4 linked regions of the Caenorhabditis elegans genome follow. The protein of the gene in region 1 purifies or fractionates together with the protein of each later gene. This does not show direct contact. Each region holds a gene or a part of one and is shown in the gene's direction. Other genes may lie near its edges. The genes, in order: T05C1.2, madf-3, rep-1 and F47G3.3.

Region 1 (3,344 bases):
ATGAGAAAGACACGTAACCAGGCAGGTGCTAGGCAGGCACTAAAGCAGTTAGGAATGAGAAACACAAGTAGGTCTGCAGGTAGGCGAATTGTAATGAGGTAACTTGAAAAGCTTTTATGACGGAGTTCAGTGTACGAAAACAAGCATCGGCGAAGGTAATCAGCCATGTAGGCAGGTAGGCATGCTTGCGGGCTCGTAGGCGGGCAGGTAGGTAAGCAGGGATATATATATATATGTAGATTTTTTTTCTTTTGAAGATCTTTAGCAAAACAGCTTGTTGTTTTCCTATAGGTACAACCAATTCCAATTCGCTTCTCTGAATTTTTCATTAGCCACCCCACTTGACATTTTGAGCTGCCACACACACCAAAAATGGTTATTTTTCAGCACCGAGACGAGGGTGCGTTCTCTCATGTTTTTTTGAGCACTTATCGCTTTACGATCACTCATTTTTCCCCCATCATTCTTCTCAAATGTTCCTTTTTTTGAAGGACAGTCGGTTCCGGGTTAGGATATATATTTTTGTTTTGTTTTTCTGGAAGTACATGCACCGTGGTTCTTGCCAAAATTTTCAGAAAATCTGAAGCTAAATTCTAGAAATTTTTATTCGACAGTTGAGATTTGAATCATTGTTTAAAATCCCCAAAAGAAAAACCGCAAATATCCTCTATAAGGCAGATCTACACAATTCTCAAATAATACCCAGCTGATAATTGTTAGTTTTTGTTCCAAAAATAAATATATATGTGCAGGTACATGTCATATAATAAAATGCTAAGACGGATCTGACAACTCAGGATTTAAATCATCTTTTGCGCGGGAACTAGGTCAGATTAAGAGTGATGTAGATTTGAGCTGGATTTGCCCGTATTTGGTGTGTTTTTAGTGGTTGCTCGGGGAGCAAGTATGAATTTGGATATTTTAGAATTAGCATATATTTAATCGGACCCCGTTAGGCAGACCTGATGCCTTCAAGATGCCTATACGTACAAGCGTGCCTGCTTGCAAGTTATGCGTCTTTTCAGACTAAACAAAGTTCATTGCATTTTTGAAAATCAATTCGTGACTACAAAAAAACGTGTTTCACGGCTTGACAGATAAACTCTGCAATCCAGCTCAAACTCACATCATTTTTTCCGAATCTTTTTTGATCTACTTCCCGCCCAATTTTTAAGATGTTTATATAGGTAGGATTGTTTCAAAGTTAGAGAGCAAAAGCTTCATATTTTCAAATTGTTAATTTCGGTTTTGGTCACTGGAACCAAACGGACCAAACTAGTAGTACTTGTAATTAAAAATAATTGATCGAATTTTTTCCCATTTCCTAGACTTCCTCATTTTCTTTCTTTTTGCCTTCCGATTAATCCCATCATGATGTGCATTTTTAGAAGTAAGACACCGAAAAAATTGGCAACTTTTGAGAGAAAATAGTAGCTTTTAGAGTTTTTAATTTACATATAGCGTTCGTCATGTCTCGGTGAGATTAGTATTCATATAGACAAGTATTTTTGGATTTGATTTTTGTATTTTCTTTCTTGCGGAATGTTATTTTACTCCTTAAAATTAAACTATTTCAATCATAAAAATGGTGTCTTTTTTCAGAAAAAAATGGCCTCGCAACAAGACGCCTCTCCACCAACAGGTTACAACATGGGGTAGGTTTTGGAACATTGAAAAGGCTGGCGTTCAAGCCTACGTGCCTACCTCGTGCCTACCTGGCGTAAACTTTGCAAGTAGGCATGAGGCAGGCAGGCAGTGAAAATTGTGAAAAAAAAAACAAATTTTCTTTAAAATTGTGCGAGTCAATTGCGGCGTCGCGTCTTAATAATTCTTCGAATCTTTCACACTTTGTTTTTTCTAAGAAGTTTGTCTGAGAAGCTTCTTCTTTAGAATCTTCAGTATAATAAAAAATAATTATCATATTTCCAGACATCGCCACTCGTTAACCATTGAGACCAATCCACTGCACTTGTTGCCGTCCAATATGCGACGTTTCTCCCAGGTGATTTTTTGAAACAAAGTCTAATTTTTAGTTTCGGAAACATTACTGAAATATTATCGAAATGATTCAGACATCTGAGAAATTTTTAGGGGGTTTGGGCCTCAAATAGATTTTTTTGGATTTTTCGGTTAAGAAAATTATCCTGCAAACTCACTCTATAGAGTAAAAAATACGAGAGTTAGATAAGTTTGTTCGGCAAATGCAGGCCAGCAATTCTTAAAAATTGGACAAAATGTGTCAATATTTTACATTCAATTTTGATAATAAAAAATGAAAAATATGTGCTTTATTTGAAAATAGCTTTGAGTTTAGTTGGAGCAATTAAAAAATGTAAAAAAAAACTGTAAAACTGCCTGAAAGTTGGAATTTGTCGGGAAAAAGTTTGATAGTTTTTAATTTTTTAAACTAAAATGAAAGCTATTTTAAAATAAAGAAAAAATTATTCTATTTACTATAATATAATTTTTATGACAAAAATTAGGAAAACATGGTGCAATATGACATTTTGAAGAATTTCTGGTCGGCACTTCAATAGCCCAGCTATTGAAAATCATATTTTATCAACAAATCTTCCGTTTTCAGGCCGACACTGCCCGTCATCCAGCAGCTCCTTTGCTCTCAAAACTCGCCGCCAGACAACAAATCCCTGAAGCAGTAGCCGAGAAAAAAGACGACGAGAAGCCAGAAAACAAGTGATTTTTTTCTGATCTCTGAACATTGTGTATTGTATATTTAAATTTCAATTCTCCAAATATTCAATTAATCTTCTTTTCTTATAGTTTCATTTATTCAAAGAAAAAAAACAAAACAAAAAATAACAAAAAAAAAGACGAAAAACACCGGAATTGGAAGGATTGAATGCATGGGAAGTTTGGAGAATGCGGAGCGGATGGCTAGTAAATATGTACATGGAATGTTTTTTGGAGGGGATTTTTGGAAAAGGGAAATAGAATCACAAGAGATTTTTAAGAAGAATTGGAATTAGTGCAACAATGAAAAGCTTCCAGCTTCCTGTTGAATTCGGGTCCCGGTTTTGGGTTCCGTCAGTTGTAAGATTTCTGTTCGATGGGTTCAACTTTGGTGGTGAGGCTTCTTGGGTGACCTTGGTAACTTCGACGCTTCCGTGGCCGGGTGTGAAGCTGGAAATAGGACTAGTTTAATGCGGTCAATTAAATTATGGCGGAAATAAGCGGAAATAATAAATCTAACTGTAAAAGTCGAGTTGAGGGACAGGTTTTGAGAGCAGATAATTTTCAATTTTGGATAAAAACATTTTTTTAAATAAGATATTTGTTTGAGTTTCAGGAATGTCTATGTTATTTGTGGTTCGGTTCGGATTTGG
Region 2 (6,669 bases), 150 kb from region 1:
ATGAAGCGCATATTTACCTGAAAAAATATTTTAAAGAAAAATCTTTAAATCTTTAAAAAATTGAATTTTTTTTCTAAAATTTGATTTCAAAAAACATGAGAAACATATAATTTTCGGCAAAAAATAGGGAAAAATTGCCTAAATTTGAAGCTATATTTTTTTTTCGGAAAATCTAGAAAAAAAGCGAAAAAAAAACAAAAATTGCACTTCTTTTGTAATTTTCCAGTGCCATATTTTGGATAAAAAAGGAAAATTTTTAATTTTTTTTTCGAAAAAAGCGAGTTTTTCTGCTAAAAACACGAAAAAGGCGGAAGAAACATTTTTTTTCAAAAAATTTGAATTTCCCGCCAAAATATTGAATTTCCAAACTCCTTCCACTTTCAATGACGCCAAAAAAAAATATTTTCCTCTCATTTTTCACTCTCTAGTTGACTGCGTTTCTCTCTATATTGACGCAAATAATTTTTTTTTCATCATTTTTTCCCCCGTCTCTTTTCATTTCTCTACACAAAAAATCTACTTTTTAATCAATAAATTCCCTTAATTTTCGCATTTTTTTCAGGTCAGCCCAAAACATGTCACCAAATACGTCACCCAAGTGCTTGTGGCGAAGAAAGAAGCCGAGTTGAAGCTGGAAAATCAGAAATTCGGAGAGAAAAAGGAGATTAATCGAAGAAAAGAGCTTCTGATGAGTGGAATGGATGAAGATGAAGCTGATAGGCATTTGGAGGAAATGAGGACTCGAAGAATGACAAATTCCAAGAGAAAGCTGGAGAAAATTAGTGGACAATTGGATAAAAGAGATCGATTTCAGAAGAAATTGGCGGCGAAAAAAGTGAAAAAGGAAGAAAATTGAATTCATTTTAAATATTGTAATTTTTGTTCAGCTTGTGTCGATTTACGCGGCTCGTGTACTCCTCGTGGAGAAGTGCAAAATTTTTACAGTTTTTGCTCAAAATTACAGAAAACTGTTAACAAAATGCAAATTTTTGAACAATTAAAACAATTAAAAGTGGCCAAAAATTACCAAAAATTGCAAATCTCCACTTTTTCAAATTAAAATTACGGTATATTTTTGGCATTTAAAGTTGTGTTTGCGGCAAACGATTTTTTTCCGGCAAATCGGCAAATTTGCCGGAATTGAAAATTTGCGGTAAATCGGCAAACCTGCAACTTGCCGAAAAAACGGAAATTGCCATAGATTTTCGGCAAATTGCGATTTTTTACCTTTTTTTTTTTTGATATTTCAGAATTTAAATTTTAATCGGCAAAACTGTACGCATCCTATGACTATTCCTACATCTAATTTGAAAATTGGCAAATTCTATGAAAATATCTAGAAAACCGACAAAAAAATTTCAAAAAAGCACAGTTTCAAGTTTTTCCGTCTCGTAAAAATTCTTCCAAAAAATTCCTGCAAATTTATGTTCGGTAAATCGGCAGGTCGACAATTCGCCGATTTGCCGATTTTGTCGACAAAGAAATTTGCCGAACAGCAACTGTTAACAAAATGCAAATTTTTAATTTAAAATTAAAATTTTTAAGTTGCCAAAAATCACCAAAAATTGAAAATCTCATTTTTTTTCTGGGATTTAAAGCAAAAAATCATTTTTTTTTAGTGTTAAATTCAAAATTCTAGTACTTTACTTCTCCTCGTGGAGTACACGAGCTTGCGATTTCTGTTGTTTTAGATTTAAATTGTTACTTTTTTTGTTTTGTTTTGTTTTTTTGTTGTTGATTTCTTTTGAAAAAAAATCAATATTTTCTATCACATCTATTTTCTTTTTATTCCCCATAATGGTTTCCTTAAAACCTTCCTCATAATATCTCTAAAAGCCGTCTCAAAAAGCGATTGCTCTAACACTTTCAGCTAATCATGATCTCCAGTGAGCACAACTATCAGCATTTATATCACGAAGAACAATACGATATGTGAGTTTAAAATGATATTTGGATAAATTTAGAAAAATCGAATTTTTGAAAAAAAAAATCAGATTTTTCTCAAAAAAGATCCAATTTATTTTCCGATAAATTGGCGAAAAATCAACAATTTTTTATATATGAAAAAAGAAAATTTTTCTAATTGTAAGTACTTACGAAGTGCTAAAAATAATTTAATCTACTAAATAAAAAAATTAAAAAAAAACTTTTGTTGTCAAAATTTTTTTTTTTCAACAAACAATTTTTTATTTTAAAAAGGTAAAAAATCAGTTTTTGCAAACACTTTTTTTCGAAAAAAAAAAACGTTTTTTACTTTAAAAAAAAGATGTTTCTAAAAACCTTCGAAAAATACCAGATTTTTCGAAAAAATTGCAATTTTTTTAATACGAAAATTTAAAAAAGTTAATTTTCGAAACAAGTCCATTTTTTAATTATATATTCTATCAAAAAAAATTGAATTAAAAAAAAACTTGATCTTCCATTAAAAACACATTTTTTTTCGATAAAAATCTTTAAAAATCTTAAGGTGTTTTTTCTTGAGAAAAAATACTCGATTTTCTTTTTAAAAAAAACTGCGCTTTTTTTGTAAAAAATTTAAAAAAAAATTAATTTCCGACAGAAAAACTATTTTTTAAAATTATATATTCGATAAAAATTCAAAAAATCGCGTTTTCCTTTAAGAACATATTTTTGGATAAAGTTTGATGTTATCAGTTTTTTTTTTCAAATTAGAAAAATCAAAAATTCACTCAAAAAAATCCCAAAAAGCATTTTTCCGAAAAAAAAGTTCGCTTAAAAAAATCAGAAAATTATCTGATTTTTCTAAAAAAAATCATAAATAACCTTTTTTTGCAGGAACTACACAGCGACCCGCTTCGGCGAGGAAATGATCGAACCGACATTCAACCTACGTCTCATCGAAGCCGTCCGTCATAGTCGATGCCTTTTCGACAATACAGACCGACAATACCGTAATACAGAATACAAAAATCGAGTTTGGCAGCGTCTGGTTACTGTACTCGGTTTTGATGGTGATCCGAGAATGTTATCTGCGAGATGGAAGCAATTAAGAGATAAATATGGAAAAGAGAAGAGAAAACAAAAATATGGAAATGAGAAATCATCATGGCAATATTTCAAACATCTTCATTTTCTAGATCCACATATGACAGATCGAGCAGAAATATCACCATCTCGAAAAGAGCCAACTGGAGTTCATGAAAAGATTGCTGAGCCATGTTTTGGAAAAAATCTAATTCTTGAAGTGAGAAGGCATCCGTGTCTTTATGATGTTCGTGATCCAAAATATCGTCATGGAGACTGTCGTACTCAAGCATGGGGAATGATTATTGATAAACTACGATATCCTGGAACAGTTCCGTCGATTTATAAACAATGGAAGAAGCATCGAGATCGATATGTTAGGGAGAAGAGGAGGCTGAGGAATTTGGTAGGCATTTGGAGGCCTCATGAAAAGGAGAACTTATGGAAAATGGGATCTGGCAGGCGGCAGTTGCCGGTTTACCTATTTGCCGGAAATTTTGATTCCCGGCAAAGTGACGATTTGCCGGAAATTCTAATTTTAGGCAATTTGCCGGTTTTCCGGAAATTTTGATTTTTGGCAAATTGCCTATTTGCCGGAAGTTTTCATTTTGGGCATTTTGCCGATATGCCGGAATTTTTAATTTTAGGCAATTTGGCGATTTGCCCGAAATTTTGATTTTTGGAAAATTGCCTATTTGCCGGAAATTTTGATTTTTGGCAAGTTGCCGATTTGGCGATTTGCCGGAAATTTTGATAAACGGCAAATTTGGCGATTTGCCGGAAATTTTGATAAACGGCAAATTTGGCGATTTGCCGGAAATTTTGATATTCGGCAAATTTCCGGTTTGGCGATTTGCCGGAAATTCTAATTTTAGGCAATTTGGCGATTTGCCGGAATATTTTTATTTTCGGGATATTGCCTATTTGGCGATTTGCCGGAAGTTTTAATTTCGGGCAATTTGCTGATTTGCCGGTTTGCCGGAAATTTCGATTTTCGACAAATTCGGCAAGTTGGAAATTTGCCGGAATTGCCGGAAAAAATCGTTTGCCCCTCCCTGCCTGGCACTGCCAACGCACAAAACTCAATTTTTCTTTGAGAAAAAATTGGCACAGTGCCAGAATCCCCTTTCTCAACAGTATCCCGTTTTCGTGGAGCCTCTATTTTTGTTTTAAACAGAAATTTTACAAATTTTTCTTAGCAACTTCAGGGTGATCCGAATGTTCAAGATGTGTCAACTTGGGAGATGTATGATGATATGGCTTGGATAGATCAGCATTTGGATGAACGTACGAGCTTTTTTTCCTGGAAAATTAAAACAAAAAACCTTTAAATCAAACTGATCCTGAATGCCGAAATACCATAAAAGGCCCCCGAAAAAAAAAATCAAAAATCATTAAGTTTGAAAAAAAATCGGTTGATTTTGGTTAATTTTCAATTCTGACTAATCTCCTAATCATTTAAATTGCCGCGCCTTTTTCAGCGCCGCACTCCGTAGATCTGTATCTGCGCGACGTTAATTCTAGTTTTTCCCGTTTTTTCCTCGCAAGTGAAGACAATAGTGCGGATGCAGATCTACGGACAATAGTGTGGATGCAGAGAGATTCAGGATCAGTTTGCGCATTTTGAAGTAAAATCCCTCATTTACTCCTACTCCTCCAGCTTTAAAATCGTTTTTTTTCCTCAATATAAATACGAAAAAAGAGTTTAGTTTTAGAACTCTTGTTTTGACATGTAAAAAATTTCGCACCGCCATATGTGAAATTACGAATTACGCAGTTCCATGTATTATTTTACGTGGCTCCTAAAATCGCCGGAATAAATACTTTAAAAAAAACTAAAATTTTGCAGAGCAACTATCTCGATGTGCTCGAAGTCTGAAACGAGGGGGAAACAATGACGGAGGAAATCAGGATGAAATGTCAGATTATGGAGATTACGATGATGAGTGAGTGAGCTAAAATGAGCAAAAAGTTGATGAAAAAAAAAGAGGAAATTTGACTCTAAAATTGATCAACTTCTAACCAATCAGCGCTCGGCCCCTTCTCTTTTTTGAACCAATCAGCGACGACCTGTGCCGCTGATTGGTTCGGAATTGCGCGGAGTCGGGCGCTGATTGGTCGGAAGCAAATAGTGGCGGTTTTAAGACAATTTTCGGTGATTTCTATTAGATTCTCTAGAAAAATTGAAAAATTTTCAAAAAAAAAAATTCAAAGATTTAGAAAAATGAAATTTTAAAAATTTGGAATTTGCGAAAACTTGATGATTTGGTGCAATTTTTTCCGACAAGTAATCACAGATAATTCCAAAATAATAATTTTATTTTGCCAAAAAAAAAATCAATAAACCCCTGAAATTTCCAGCATAAACTACGTGATGATGGCTGAAAAGCGACCAAACAACGGTGATGTACTTCTCGACGGAGATTCTGCATTCTCTGCATCAATTGTATCGGATCTAAGGACACTTGGAGAAGAAGCACGAATAATTGCAAAGCAGCAGATTATGATACTTTTGGAATCCGCTAAACCTCCGTCTACACCTGCTCCTAATTATTTGTGATTTTTATTGAATTTTCTAGCCGAAATTTTCAATTTTTTGTCCACTTTTTATTACCCAACCTCGAAATTTCTTCGATTTTACCCCAAGCCGGGTCTCGCCACGACCCAAATTGATAAGTTGAAAACTTTTTTTTTGATAAGTTGAAAATTGAAAAAAGTGTGCGCCTTTAAAGAGTACTGTGTTTAACTGTGAATTTTTGTCGAGTTTTTCTCACAATTTGTGAAAATTTATTGTCTTTTTTATCGAAAAACTATGAAAAATTGATGAAAATTCACGAATTTTTGAAGTTACAGTACTCTTTAAAGGCGCACACCTTTACACACGCACTTAACAAAAATTGTCGCTTCGAGACCCCAGGTACTGTAGTCTTGGCGCATTTATTTCCAATTTTTTTGATCTTTATCCCATCAACTGGTCTCATCATATTTTCATATTTGTACAATATTTCTGTATCTGTATTTTTTTTTGTAATTTTTGTGGGCAGTTTCTTAATTTCCATCGCCGTCTTTCCTATCTCAGGTCCTTTTATTTCATGAATAATTGATTTTTATCCTAGAAAATTTGGATTTTTTGTTGTAAATTTACCTCTTTTAAGGTGTTCAAAACCTACTTTTTATCTGTGTTTTTTGAAAAATTTTGAAAAATTTTTTGCGGATGGGTCTCACCGCGAAGTCTGAAAGTTACACTGCAACTTTTTCCTCGCGAGGGACGAGGAAAAGTGGTTTCTAGGCCATGGCCGAGGGGCCGACAAGTTTCAGCGGCCATTTATCTTGCTTTGTTTTCCGCCTGTTTTCTTTCGTTTTTCATCGATTTTTTTCGTTTTTTCTTAATAAAACTGATAAATAAATATTTTTTGCAGATGCTAAAACAATTTCCAATTTCCAAGTGAAAAAATCATGCATTCAGTGGGCAAGCAGCGGTGAAAGTGGTCAATGTAATATGATGGATTACGGGAATACAAAACCTAAACTTTTTCTGAAACATGATACATATGATGCTTAGATGCTGAAATTACCTGATTTTCATAACGAGACCGCTGAAAAAGTTTTGAGGTTTTCAAAATTCAATTTTTTTGTGCGAAAATCTCGACTTTTTCACCAAAAAAGTTGAATTTTGGAAACCTC
Region 3 (7,791 bases), on another chromosome or scaffold:
GTATCGAACTAAGTTGATATGTTTTGTATGTCGAAAAATAGTTTACACTTGGTTACATCATTTTTGTAGGAAAAATCTAGAATTTTCGACAAAAATTATTTTGAACATTTTTTGACGACCAACCAAAAAAATTTTTTTTTGGGCGGATTTTTTTCCAAACTTCTGTTGTTTTCTAATAATCTAAACAAAGCAAAATCCGCACACAAAGCTCAATTGAAAACTGAAAAGAAGCGAGATCAGAAAAATGCCTGAAAAAATTGGCTCCGCGTTAGGACACTTGGGGTGGTCAAAAACTTTCGTGACTATTGTCAAGTGAAAGATCATGGTTGATAACGTAAATTCCCAAAGTTTCATAAAAATCGATACGCAGCGAACAAAGTTATGATTTTTGACCCGGAACTTATTTGGAGACCTAATATATATATACCAGCCGTTCGAACGCGCTGAAGCGCGTGCTCCGACTGGCGTACTCAAAATTGAAATCAAATTCTAAAATTTCTAAGCCTTTCTCTGTAGATGGAACGTTTTTTTTCTGTTTTCCGGAAGTTTTCGAGCAACATAAATATTATATAGCTGAGTGTTTACAACTAAAAAAAAACGTTTTTCAAATCATATAAAACTTTTTTCCGGTCCTTTCCGAGAGTTTTTGGCGAGCGTTTCTGGAAATTATAACAATTTTGATCTTTTTTTTTCAAATTATTGAAACTTCAGAATATTCTAGGAGTATCAAAACTTGAAGAAGTTTTTTTTTTTGAACTTTCCGAAAGGTTCTAGAAATTTGCAGGTTCCTGAAATTTTCCACGAAATTGAACACTTCAGAATTTTCCCGATTTCTCTAGAAAGTTTTGGAACATTCCAGAATTTTCTCGAATTTATTTTTCTCAGAAAATTTGAATTTCCAGTCAACGAAGAGCCTTTGTCACAAAAACGACATATTATTAAAATTCACAGAATTTCCTAAATATTCCCTTCCTAAACATTTTCTCGTGACCCATGTGCTTCTACTCGTATTGGTGGCATAAAAACTGTATTTATTCACAGTTTCAGTCTTAAATTGGCCGAAAATGTGAATAAATACCGTATTTCTGCCAACAATTTGACAATAGAGCACATTTGTCACTCGGAGATGCGGAAGCTATGCCCAAATTTTCATTTTTCCCCCGAAAACTTGTATAATTTTTCAGGTAACCCGTGTACCGTACTCCCACGTGGCAGCCTGTCAAAGTTATATGCTATTCTACGAACGTGTCAAACCTCATCGACTCTACGAAAGGATGTAATTTCTGGATTTTTATTGATTTTTTTGAGAAAATTTTTTTTTTGGAAATTTCGCAATTTTTTTCCCAAACAATTGATTTATTTTGTTGCTAGATTCCCCTTATTTTTTGTTGTAAATTTTAACATTTTAATGACACAACGTGTAGCATTTCCTTTAAAGTTTATTTTTTGTGCAAAAATTCAGAAAATTTGAAAAAAATATTATAACTCTTCCCCCCGTCCCGTGCCATTTTTGTTAAGTTTTGTGTGTGTGTGTGAAAATGAAGATTTTTCGTGTTTTTTCCACTTTTTTTAGTTAATTTTTAAAGGTTTTCAGCCGTAAATCAAATATTTTAATAGAAAAAAAAATTTTTTTTGGAAAATTTTCAAAAAAATTTTTTTTTTTTTTGGTTTTTTTCAATTTTTCAAATTTAAGCATGACATCTCTTATTTTCCAAAAATTCAAACTATTTCCAGCTTTTCCAGCTCTAAAAAATGGACGAAAAGTTGCCAGAATCAGTGGACGTAGTGGTGCTGGGCACCGGACTACCTGAAGCCATTCTGGCTTCAGCTTGTGCTCGAGCTGGCTTATCTGTGCTTCATTTAGATAGGTAATAGGCGAACTAACATTTAAAAAAAGTTTAAAAAAATGAATGAATGAAATTGAAAAAAAAAAAATTTTTGCGAAAAAAAAATTATTTTCGGCTAAATTTTTTTTTTAATCATAACTTTTCCTCAAAAATACAGCAAAATTCGAATTCTCCACGTCGCCAGCTTCAATTTGATCCCCAAATTGCCTATATTCCGCTGGTTTTGAAGTTTTCGGGTCCCGCCACGAAAACTCCTCGGGTTACTGTAGTTTTTCGCGGCGGGACCCAAAATAAACGGATTCTGGGCATGATGGGGGTCATTTTGAAGCTGAGAACCTGATGAATTCAAATATCACATTAATTTTCGGGAAAAATCAGAAAGTAAAAATTTTCTGACCAAGTTTGTGGAAAATTTTTCGGAAAACGTCAAAAGTTTCCAATTTTCGAAAAATGTCAGCCAACTGATATCATATTCGAGTTCTCCACGTCACTAGCTTTAAAATAACCCCCCACCATGTCCATATTCCATTGATTTTGATTTTTTTGGGTCCCGTCACGGGTTACTGTAGCACCGATTTCAGCTGTGTCGATTGTCAAAATACACCGAACCTAGGCGTGTTGGGGCTCATTTGAAAGCTAATAACGTTGAGAAATCAGATTAATTGTTCGTTTTCGGAAATATCGAAAATTAAACAAATTTTAAGAAAAAAAAATATATATTTGCCAAAACATTTTTCAATTTTCAGAAATTTAAAAAATCAGAATTCTTTCTGAAATCTTCACGTTACCAGCTTTCAAATGACCCCCATCATGCCCATATTCCGCCTACTTTGAGAATTTTGGGTCCCGCCACGCGGGTTACTGTAGCACCGATTTCAGCTGTGTCGGTTGTCAAAATGCACGGAACCTAGGCGTGTTGGGGGTCATTTGAAAGCTGATAACGTCTGGAATTCGAATTTCATACTCGATTTCTTGAAAAATTCGAAATAAAAAATATTTTTGCAGAAATGAGTACTACGGCGGTGATTGGTCATCATTCACAATGTCGATGGTTCATGAAGTGACTGAAAATCAGGTTTTTATTGATTTTCAGCCAGAAAAACCCCAAAATTTCCGAATTTTCAGGTAAAAAAGCTGGATTCCTCGGAGATTTCCAAGTTATCAGAGCTTTTGACTGAAAATGAGCAGCTCATTGAGCTCGGCAATCGAGAAATCGTGGAAAACATTGAAATGACGTGGATTCCACGTGGAAAAGACGAGGAAAAGCCGATGAAAACGCAACTGGAAGAGGCTTCACAAATGCGGCGATTTTCCATCGATTTAGTGCCGAAAATTCTACTTTCCAAGGGAGCAATGGTACAAAATTGCAAAATTACACCTAAATTGGAGAACTTGATGTTTTGCCCTAATAGTCATCAAAAAATCAATTTTTGCCAAAAAAAAAATTTTTTTTGAAACTTTTTTTCTGAAAAAAAAGAAAAATTTTTCTAAAAATTCAATTTCCTCATTTAAAACTCTGAAATTCGAATTCTCTACGCCACCAGCTGTCTAATGACACCCAACATGCCCAGGTTCCGACCGCTTTGAAAATTTTGGGTCTCGCCACGCGGGTTACTGTAGCATCGATTTCAGCTGTGTCGAGACTGCCAAAATTCAAAATCAACGGACCACGGACATGTTGGGGGTCATTTGAAAGCTGATAAAGTGGAGAATTCGAATTATTTGCTAGTTTTCTGAAATATCGAAAATTTAAAAAAATTGAAAAATATTTTCCAAAAAATTGTCAATTTTCAGAATATTCAAAAATTAACATTTTTTCCGAGATCTTCACATCACCAGCTTCAAAATGACCCCCATCATGCCCTGGTTCCATGCAATTTGATTTTTTTGGGTCTCGCCACGCGGGTTACTGTAGCACCGGCTTCAGCTGTGTCAAAACTTCCAAAAGTCAAAATCAACGGAGCCGGGGCATGTTGGGGGTCATTCGAAAGCTGAGAGCGTCGAAAAATTCGAATTTCCGCATTATTTTCAGATATTGAAAAGTTTGACAAAAATTTATGGGAAAATTTTGAAAATCTTGAAAAAAATTTGGAAAAAAAAAACGATTTTCTTCCAATTTTTTGAATTTTTTCAGGTTCAAACACTCTGTGACTCCCAAGTATCCCATTATGCCGAGTTTAAGCTTGTCAACCGGCAGCTATGCCCAACAGAGACCCCAGAAGCCGGAATTACCCTAAATCCGGTGCCATGTAGCAAAGGAGAGATTTTTCAGAGCAATGCTTTGTCGTAAGGGATTTTTTTAGGCTGAAAATCGATAAAATATCGATTTTCTTTGCCAAAAAAATCGATTCGCAATGATAAATCTCCAAAAATTCTTCCAGAATCCTGGAAAAGCGAGCTCTTATGAAATTCATCACATTCTGCACACAATGGAGCACAAAAGACACGGAAGAAGGCAGAAAACTGCTCGCCGAGCACGCCGACCGCCCGTTTTCAGAGTTTTTGGAGCAAATGGGCGTTGGAAAGACCCTGCAGAGCTTTATTATTAATACGATCGGCATTTTACAGCAAAGACCCACTGCGATGACGGTGAATATGCGGAAATTACTGTTTTTTAGAAAAAAATCTGAATTTCTAAAAAAATTGAAAATGAAAAAAAAATCCAAAATTTTTTTTTTTGCACGAAATTTACTTCAATTTTTTTCAAAATATTATTGAAAAATTTGAATTCTCGCCACTCTCAGCTTCAAAATGACCCCCAACATGCCCGGGGTCCGTTGATTTTGAGTTTTGGCAGTCTCGACACAGCTGAAACCGGTGCTACAGTACCCCGCGTGGCGAGACCCGAATTTTCAAAATCATCGGAACCCGGGCAGTATGGGGGTCTTTAGAAAGATGATGATGTGGAGGATTCGAGTTTTGAGTCGATTTGAAAAGAAATTTATAATTGAAAAAAATTTGAGCAAAAAATTATTTTTTTTTTCGAAAAAATGTTGATTTTGTCTATTTTGCTAAAAATTTTTGAAAAATTCAAATCTCTAACGCTTTCAGCTTTACAATGACCCCCATCATGCCCATTTTCCGTGCAGTTTGCGCTCCGACACAGCTGAAACCGGTGCTACAGTACCCCTCGTGGCGGGACCCAAAATTTTCAAAATCGATGGATCATGGGCATGATGGGTGTCATTTGGAAGCTGGTGATGTGGAGAATTCGAATTTCGAGTTGATTTTCATGTCAAATTTGAAATTGAAAAAAATTTTGAGAAAAACAAATTTTCAAAAAAAAAAAAAAATTTTTTTCAAAATTTAAAATTTTTCCAAATTCCAGGGAATGTTGGCATCATGCCAGTTCATGGATTCTGTCGGCCATTTCGGTCCATCGCCATTCCTCTTCCCACTCTACGGATGTGGAGAGCTCTCACAGTGCTTTTGCCGGCTGGCAGCAGTCTTTGGGAGCTTATATTGTCTGGGACGGCCTGTACAGGCTATCGTGAAAAAAGATGGAAAGTTAGTGAAGAGAATAAGCGAAAAATCAATAGTTTCTGCGAAATTTGACCTAATTTTCAAGTCAAATTCCCAGCAAAACTAGTTTTATACAATATTCCGTGACTCATGTGTTTCTACCCAGATTGATGGCATAAAAACTGTTTTTATTCACATTTTCAGCCTTAAATTGTGCTGAAAATGTGAATAAATACCGTATTTCTGCCAACAATTTGACAATAGAGCACATTTGTCACTCGGAGATGCGGAAGCTATGCCCAAATTTTCAATTTGTCGGAAAACCAATTTTCTCAAAAATTTCCAGAATTACGGCTGTAATTGCCAATGGAGATCGTGTAAATTGTCGCTACATCGTGATGTCCCCGAGATTTGTCCCCGAAACTGTTCCAGCTAGTAGTACGCTGAAAATCGAGAGAATCGTCTATGCGACGGATAAATCGATTAAAGAAGCCGAGAAAGAACAGGTTCCGGAGCATTTTTTGGAGTTTTCCACCAGGAAATTCGATTTTCCCGCAAAATTCCACTCTAGAATTCAATTTCCCCGGGCTTCTAGCTCAATGTTACAATTTTTGGGGTTACTGTAGCGCCAAAAGTACGTTGACCTCGGTGCTTGCGTACCTGAGACCGAATTTTACGAAATTGAGCTTAAATTGGCTGAAAATCATGTTCCGGGGTGAATTGGCAACGGGAAATTCGAATTTCGCATTGAAAACCACCTTGGTCAACTGGTTTTCGAGAAAAATTTAATTTTACTCGAGAAACCAGTGCTCCTAGTTGATTTTCAATGCAAAATTCGAATTCCCCGTTGCCAATTTACCCCGTAACTGAAATTTAAGCCAATTTGGGTTCAATTTCGTAAAATTCGGTGTCAGGTACGCAAACACCACGGGGGCATCGCGTACTTTTGGCGCTACAGTAACCCCGAAAATTTCAAAATTGAGCTAGAAGCCTGGGAAAAAATAATTCTAGAGTGAAATTTTGCGGGGATTTCGAATTTCGTATTAAAAATCCGAAAAAATTTTCAGCTAACCCTCCTCAATCTGGCATCTCTCCGGCCCGACGCCGCAGTCTCACGGCTTGTTGAAGTGGGCTTTGAAGCCTGTACGGCTCCGAAAGGACACTGTAAGCCCCCACGTTTTTTCCTAGAAAAATAAAGATTTTTTTTTTGCAGTTCTGGTGCATGCAACGGGTACCCAAGAAGGAGAAACAAGTGTCAAGACTATTGCAGAGAAGATTTTTGAAAAAAATGGTGATTTTCGCGGAATTTTTAGGGGGAAATTTTGAATTTCCACTACCGAAAACCTATTTTTCGCTTAAAATTTGAGAAACTTTCATGGAAAAGTCATTTCCAAGTGAATTTTCCCTAATTTTAGGTGAAAAATTCGAATTCTCCGCTATAAAAAACCTATATATCCCCACGGGGAATCGAACCCTGGACCTTTTGCTCCAAAGGCGAGCCGCTTAGCCACTGCGCCACGCGTTGCAGCTAACCAGTGATGCATGTTGCACCCCGTGGCGCAGTGGCTAACAGGCTTGACTTCGGAGCAAATGGTCCCGGGGTTCGAGTCCCCGCAGTGGTGTATAGGTTTTTCATAGCGAACATTTCGAATTTTTAACTTAAAATTCGCAAAAATTGAGTTACAACCTAGTTTCCTGAAATTTTCGCTCGAAAATGATACAAAATCCATTTTTTTGAACTATTAATATATGTTAAGCTTCAAAGTTCTAAAATAGAGACTCCAAGAGTTGAAATCTCAGCAAGGATTCAGTGAAATTTTGAGAAAAATTATTTCCAAGTGAATTTTCCCCAATTTTAAGTGAAAAATTCGAATTCTCCGCTATAAAAAACCTATACACCCCCACGGAGAATCGAACCCCGGACCTTTTGCTCCAAAGGCGAGCCGCTTAGCCACTGCGCCACGCGTTGCATCACGCGCCGCTGGTTCGGCGCACCGGTGGCGCAGTGGCTAACAGGCTTGACTTCGGAGCAAAAGGTCCGGGGTTCGAGTCCCCGTGGGAGTATTTAGGTTTTTCAGGGCGGAGATTTCGAATTTTTCACTTAAAATTCGCGAAAATTGGCTTGGAACCCGGTTTTTCTTTAATATTTTTGAGTTTTTCGATTTTTCCTAGAAAAATCGATATTTTTTCTGCATTTCAGAAGTGGAACCCTACTGGAAGATGAGCTTCACCGCGAATTCCATGAAATTCGACACCGCCGGAGCCGAAAATGTCGTCGTCGCGCCGCCAGTTGATGCGAATTTACACTATGCTAGTGTGGTGGAGGAGGTTAGGGCGAAAGAACGATGAAAATTGGATTTTTGAGCTGAAATTGAATTAGAAATTCAAATTAGAAAAAAAAATTTCGAAAAAATATAAAAATTAAAAAAAAAAAATTTTTTTGAAAAATTTTTCAGAAAATTTTTTTTTTCGAAAATTTTTT
Region 4 (5,630 bases), on another chromosome or scaffold:
AATGTCCTGCATCAAAATTAATATTGTTTTTTTTTTGTCGTCTATCAGTACTGTTAGAAATTATGGAAGTTTAAGTTATCAATTATTAATTTTCATCTGTCCGTAGTTTCAAAATTTTTTAAATAAAAGTTCAATAAAAAGTGCGTCAAAGAATCTTTTTTAAACATTTTGTCGAAAAACTTCGACTTCTAATACAAAACTGATGCCCTCGCGTTTAAGCAATTTTTAACATACAAACCACTCAGATTGAAAATTCCACTTTCGAGAAACCCTGAAAAACTAAAAAAAAAAACGTGGCCCACGATAATATTTGTTCAATTACAATTGAGTCTAACGTATTGAATTTGAATAGTTTATGTCTTTGAAAAATAAGTTTAGACAATGCCCTTATTGTATTCTAGTATTGTATTTTAGACTTGAAAAATCCGCAAGTAAACAGACCAAAGCTTAAAATAAGTGAGATTGGGCAGGCGCCACAAAAAAGTGGTTCCAAGTTAGGGCACAACGGGTGGTTAAAAAATTTGAATTTAACGTCTCTCAAAAAAATTATGGATTTTAGCCAATTACTTGTCGCCACCATTTTCTTGATATTTATGAAAAATGAAAATTTTGAACAAATACGAATAATTGTCCTTTACTGATCTCCAATACGTCGTTCAACAGGATAATCATCCGATTTCATATAAATAAATTAATTATTTTCTTCTTCCGTCTCCCGTTTTGACCTCAACAAAATCGCTTAGAATAGAGATGCACTATCCCAAAATCAATAATGATCTACCTGCTCTCTTCGATTGAATACCATGTAAATAGCAGACATACATTTTAAAAAGGATTAAAGGACGATCCGTTCTTCAAGTGCTATGCACTGCGGATCTGGGATTCAGGTACACTGCCTGGTGGTGATCCCTCTGGGCTGTAATTTAAGCCACGTCCTAGCCGGGGACTGTGGCCGATAATCCAGTCGTGGATTGCTCCACTTCCCAATAGAGGCTGGGTGAACCTAGGGGGTGAGGCCGGACTCGTGACCTCCAGACTGCTAGCGGCCACCACTACCGACTGAGCTATCTGCCCCCGAATAATTTTATTCTTTGAAAAAAAATAGCAGACATACATTTTCCCTAATTCAACCCCTTGCCCTCTTGCCATTCTCCAAACGTGACGAGACCATCTGCCGCGCTGAGACACCGCAGTGTTCCTCGTCGCACGTTTGTCTCGTTTCTTAGACTCTCCACTCTCTTGCGTGTACTCTCGCACATTGTCTCCTTATCCGGTCAGTTTTTTGAATGGTTCGAAGAGCCTCAAATCATTCCTTTATCTCACGTATTTACATGTAGATTTTCTTTATTTTCTCACCGCATTTATTCATAATTTTCAATACTTCTCAGAGCATTCTCGGCGCAACAAATCATTCTTTTTGCTCAGTCCCAAATACCTTTTCTTTTCTTTTTATCTCCTTGTTGCTGCGTCTCCGTATCTCTAACAACATTTTCGATTTCCCTAGCAATGTCGTTACTTTCTCGTAATTTCTCACTTTTCTCGTAATTTCTCACTTTCTTTCTCGCCGGACAAAAAATGTATACGAGTTCTCGCCCTTATTTTGAAAAACATCTAATAGAGACATACGAGAGTGATGAGTATCAGCGATATGTTAAATGGCATAGTCTGTCGCGGACCAGAACAAGCAGAAGTAATGAAAATATCATTTAAATTTAGAGGCATAAAATTCTGAATATTTTTTTAAACAGATAAAAAAATTCTCCAATTTTCAGAAAAATCTACATTTTGATGTTCTTATGAAAGACGATGCAAATTATTATTCAAGCTAATTCCTTCAAATCGTCCGTAAAAACTTACTGATTTTACCATTAGTTACCAAATGCACTGGTTTTTTTAACTCCTCAATTGAGTTGCCAAAATTATGAGCGATAGATGTTACTTTTTTTTTAGCTACTTGCTCCGATTGTTTTTCCTCTTTCTGTATCCTTAAATATACTTTGAAATACTTACCTGTTTCAGTTACAATGACGGATATGGAAAGTCAATTCGAAATTATCCGAACCGAAATCGTAAGTTCATTTTTTGCTTTTTTTCTACAATTACAATCCTATTTTCAGACTCTCGGAAATCTCACGGGATCCCTGCACACATTGCACCAAAACGTGAAGCTACAGATCTTCAGTGACGATCTCTGTCAGGCTTTTGACTCGTTCCTGATTTTCTTCCACAGAAGCGTATCGAGTTATATGGACAAATTAAAGTCACAAACTAACGACGATGACGACGACGTTGCTGATAGACTTTCGGCAGCGGAAGCTCACGTTTCGCTTCATTTGGGCAGATTTGTGGTAGGTCGTTTCACTTTTTAGTTTGTAGAAACTAAATATGGTTCTAAAACTAATTTAAAACGGAGTTAGTTTAGCCACTTTGTCGAGTCGAATGACCAAATATCATAATTTAACAAAACAATTCTGAAAGGCCCAGTTTTGCCACTGTTTTGGAATCGGACAAATTAATATATTTTTCGAATTAAGTTTCAAATATTAATATTTAAAAATGTAAAGATTCCAACATGACTTCTCTATAGTTTTCTCAACAAGTGGTAAAATCTCAGTTATTGCCAGTTTTTAAATCGAAACGCAAATTTTCAAACAATTTTCGGAAATTTTTACTATGATATTTGGCTTATGTTATCATAACTCCTCTGTTAAGAAGAACGAAAGAAATATATTTTGCAGGCCGAGATTCCAACATTCGCCGACGGATGCGATGTGTCTGGATTTTGGCACAGTCTACTGGTCAAATTGATTAATGAGATGTTTGGATTCTCTCACAAGACTTTTGGTATTTTAGAAAACCATTTTGCACAGCTATATCACAGTTTTTTTGCAGATCCAGCAGCAAAAGTCAAAAACAAGAATGCAATCAGTGCACTGTTTGAGGAATTTTTGGCAGCTGAAAAACCAGATAGATCCACTGCGTACGAATATATCTGCGTTATGTACATCAAATACCTTCAACAAATGAATCTGCATGCGGAGTTGGAGTTGTTCGCAGCAGAGGTTTGGAAGAGTTATATGGATGTACCAATATATAAAGTTTTCAGAAAATTGCTCACCCCCACGAGTACCAACAAGAAGGCAGTTCTTATTGGAAAGAAGAATGTCTTGCACTTCTGAAGGCTGCGGATAAGTGCACAAATAACCGTCTGAGAAACAACTTGCTCACAATCGGAAAACGTCTCTTCAACAACACTACTGCCAACATCTCCAAGCAAACTGAGGCGTTCTTTGCTATCCTCACTTACATCGATCTCTGTGACAATCCAGTCACCGCGGAAGTCTGGACCGGTTTGAGAAAAATTTGCAAAAGAGTCATTGAGCATGGAAATGAGGTGTTGTTCTTTGCAAACAACGAGAACTTTGACGAGAACTTGAAGAGTGCTCTGAAAGTTTTTGGTGAGGTTGAGGTAAGATTTTCATATTATGAAAGTTTTGTCTAAATACATTCATCATGATACAAAACGACCACAAAATTTTAGACTTTCTCAAATTTTCTATCAAAGCTTTTAAGGAAATCCAGAGCAAGGTCGCATTTTCCGACCTCTAGAATATTTTGACACTAAAGTGTGAAAATGGTAGAAAAACAGTTGTTTGGGTCGATAAATTTTCAAAATGTTTTACTATAATATCTGATCCTTTTGGCACCGTGGCACAGCTCAACCTTTGAATAAGTTTGGGGGCTCTGAAATATGTCAAAAAATGTACTGGAAAAATTCATATTGATTTTACAGAATCCTATTCGGCAAACAATTTCAATAATTTCAGTTGACACTCAATAGACGAATTGGAATGATCCAAAAATTGGAGAGAAGCGATCCACAAGATGGACATCAAATGGACTCTGCATTTTTCATTGATTATGGATATTATTATGTGATGAGAGCCTCCATTTTCCAGAGCGCTAAATTCATTGTTGGTGAGCAAGAAGGTAAGTCGAAATCAGGCGCTTGTGCACCGTACATCGTATTCAATTTCAGCCAAAGAGCAAACAGCGTTGGACATCAAGCAGGCGTCGGACTATTCTTATCACTATACAAATGTTCAAATCGCTATCAATGACGTTCTTGAATTGATTACTTCAAATTTTGAAAATTTGAGTGAAACAAGCTTGGTTGAAATGGGAATCTATCAGTATCTGGAGTCGGTAAGGAATACTTTAGGGCGGCGATAAGTCCTAAGCCAAAATTCATAAATTTTTCTTGTGTCGGTATTTTCTAAAAGTTTTGACCATCACTAGTATCCTAGCTCGCCATTTTTTGGAGGCTTCTATTTGATCTTGCTTGCTAACAAGTTTTTTCCTAAATTCTTTATTGACAGAAGCTTTTAATTCGGGGCGCTGAAAAGTTGTTAAAATTACCGTAAAATGGAATATGTACGAACTCAACTTTGTACTTAACTTTCAAAAAATTTATTCTATTTTCAGATTATTGACGCATGCTTTGACAATAGAAGAACAAAGGACCAGCAAACTATTTTCGACAAGGCTAACCAGCTTCTGAGCAAAACTAGTGAGATGTTGGGAAAGCACAGTAACTCATCCGAGCCTGTAACAAGTGCAATGGACGCTTCAGGACCCTCTCCTGACGAACATCTTGCAGACGATAACATGGATGACTAGTTGATAGAAAGCCAATGCATTCGTTCGACATCACCATTTGATTCACCAGTTTTCACATTTTTTTGTTATAGATTTCCAACTATGAGTCGTTTTGTTAAAAGGAGCATTTACAATAATGTTTCCTTTTCATGTTTTTGTGCATGCATTCCTGAATACTCTTTTTTATTGATTCCCTTGGTATTTCTGCATCTCATCCGTTACTTTTTGAAACAATACCTGTTTTCAAAGTTTTACCCTCCCTCAATCACACCTGTTTTGAAGTTCTTTCATAACTTTTGTGCGCCAACATTTCATGGATGTTTTTTTATGTTACTTTCATCTCGAGAATGTTTTTTCTCCATTTCAAGAATCTCGGTCTCACTTCTTCCCACCCGTTTTTCATTTAGAAATAAATTTTAAATTTCTCCAGTTTGCTTCTAAATATTTAATTGTTTTGATTTTTGGTTCTCTGAATGCACAAATTCATCAGGTTCTGTAGGTATAATTATGAAACCGCTTTGAGCAAGAAACCAACTTAAAAGGAAGTGTCGTTTGGAGCATCTCCAGGTCCTGGCTATGTCTCGGCTATGTCTCACTATCAGCTCAGACTGCCAGAGTCACTAATTTTAGTGAACTGCCAGAGTCACTAATTTTAGTGAACTGCCAGAGTCACTAATTTTAGTGAACTGCCAGAGTCACTAATTTTAGTGAACTACCAGAGTCACTATTTTTAGTGAACTGCCAGAGTCACTAATTTTAGTGAACTGCCAGAGTCACTAATTTTAGTGAACTGCCAGAGTCACTAATTTTAGTGAACTGCCAGAGTCACTAATTTTAGTGAACTGCCAGAGTCACTAATTTTAGTGAACTGCCAGAGTCACTATTTTTAGTGAACTGCCAGAGTCACTAATTTTAGTGAACTGCCAGAGTCACTAATTTTAGTGAACTACCAGAGTTACTAATTTTAGTGA

Evidence for each region.
Region 2: the proteins of T05C1.2 (region 1) and madf-3 fractionate together in Caenorhabditis elegans (co-fractionation; one large-scale study listed by BioGRID). This does not show direct contact.
Region 3: the proteins of T05C1.2 (region 1) and rep-1 fractionate together in Caenorhabditis elegans (co-fractionation; one large-scale study listed by BioGRID). This does not show direct contact.
Region 4: the proteins of T05C1.2 (region 1) and F47G3.3 fractionate together in Caenorhabditis elegans (co-fractionation; one large-scale study listed by BioGRID). This does not show direct contact.

What each region holds. Positions count from the first base shown.
Region 1 is NC_003280.10:4,480,379-4,483,722, reverse strand, and holds T05C1.2 (Protease III), read left to right. Parts: upstream 1-1,601; 5' UTR 1,602-1,608; coding exon 1,609-1,655; intron 1,656-1,928; exon of another isoform or gene 1,929-1,929; coding exon 1,930-2,002; intron 2,003-2,584; coding exon 2,585-2,698; 3' UTR 2,699-2,780; downstream 2,781-3,344. Other genes in the region: T05C1.1 (Activin_recp domain-containing protein), read right to left, coding at 2,955-3,141.
Region 2 is NC_003280.10:4,332,880-4,339,548, forward strand, and holds madf-3 (Alcohol dehydrogenase transcription factor myb/sant-like protein), read left to right. Parts: upstream 1-1,868; 5' UTR 1,869-1,932; intron 1,933-2,796; 5' UTR 2,797-2,827; coding exon 2,828-3,391; intron 3,392-4,193; coding exon 4,194-4,272; intron 4,273-4,834; coding exon 4,835-4,931; intron 4,932-5,346; coding exon 5,347-5,545; 3' UTR 5,546-6,159; downstream 6,160-6,669. Other genes in the region: H20J04.4 (RNA helicase), read left to right, coding at 563-856.
Region 3 is NC_003281.10:1,568,572-1,576,362, forward strand, and holds the start of rep-1 (Rab proteins geranylgeranyltransferase component A 1), read left to right. Parts: upstream 1-1,734; 5' UTR 1,735-1,752; coding exon 1,753-1,868; intron 1,869-2,852; coding exon 2,853-2,922; intron 2,923-2,972; coding exon 2,973-3,203; intron 3,204-3,981; coding exon 3,982-4,133; intron 4,134-4,228; coding exon 4,229-4,436; intron 4,437-5,175; coding exon 5,176-5,354; intron 5,355-5,655; coding exon 5,656-5,815; intron 5,816-6,376; coding exon 6,377-6,473; intron 6,474-6,522; coding exon 6,523-6,600; intron 6,601-6,761; exon of another isoform or gene 6,762-6,834; intron 6,835-6,858; exon of another isoform or gene 6,859-6,931; intron 6,932-7,203; exon of another isoform or gene 7,204-7,279; intron 7,280-7,300; exon of another isoform or gene 7,301-7,373; intron 7,374-7,509; coding exon 7,510-7,637; intron 7,638-7,791. Other genes in the region: Y67D2.2 (Ubiquitin carboxyl-terminal hydrolase), read left to right, coding at 1,185-1,280. UniProt on the Caenorhabditis elegans protein: Substrate-binding subunit of the Rab geranylgeranyltransferase (GGTase) complex. Binds unprenylated Rab proteins and presents the substrate peptide to the catalytic component B and remains bound to it after the geranylgeranyl transfer reaction.
Region 4 is NC_003284.9:2,373,973-2,379,602, forward strand, and holds F47G3.3 (KIF-binding protein), read left to right. Parts: upstream 1-2,012; 5' UTR 2,013-2,024; coding exon 2,025-2,069; intron 2,070-2,117; coding exon 2,118-2,348; intron 2,349-2,738; coding exon 2,739-2,844; intron 2,845-2,892; coding exon 2,893-3,062; intron 3,063-3,106; coding exon 3,107-3,469; intron 3,470-3,827; coding exon 3,828-3,990; intron 3,991-4,039; coding exon 4,040-4,206; intron 4,207-4,485; coding exon 4,486-4,680; 3' UTR 4,681-5,114; downstream 5,115-5,630.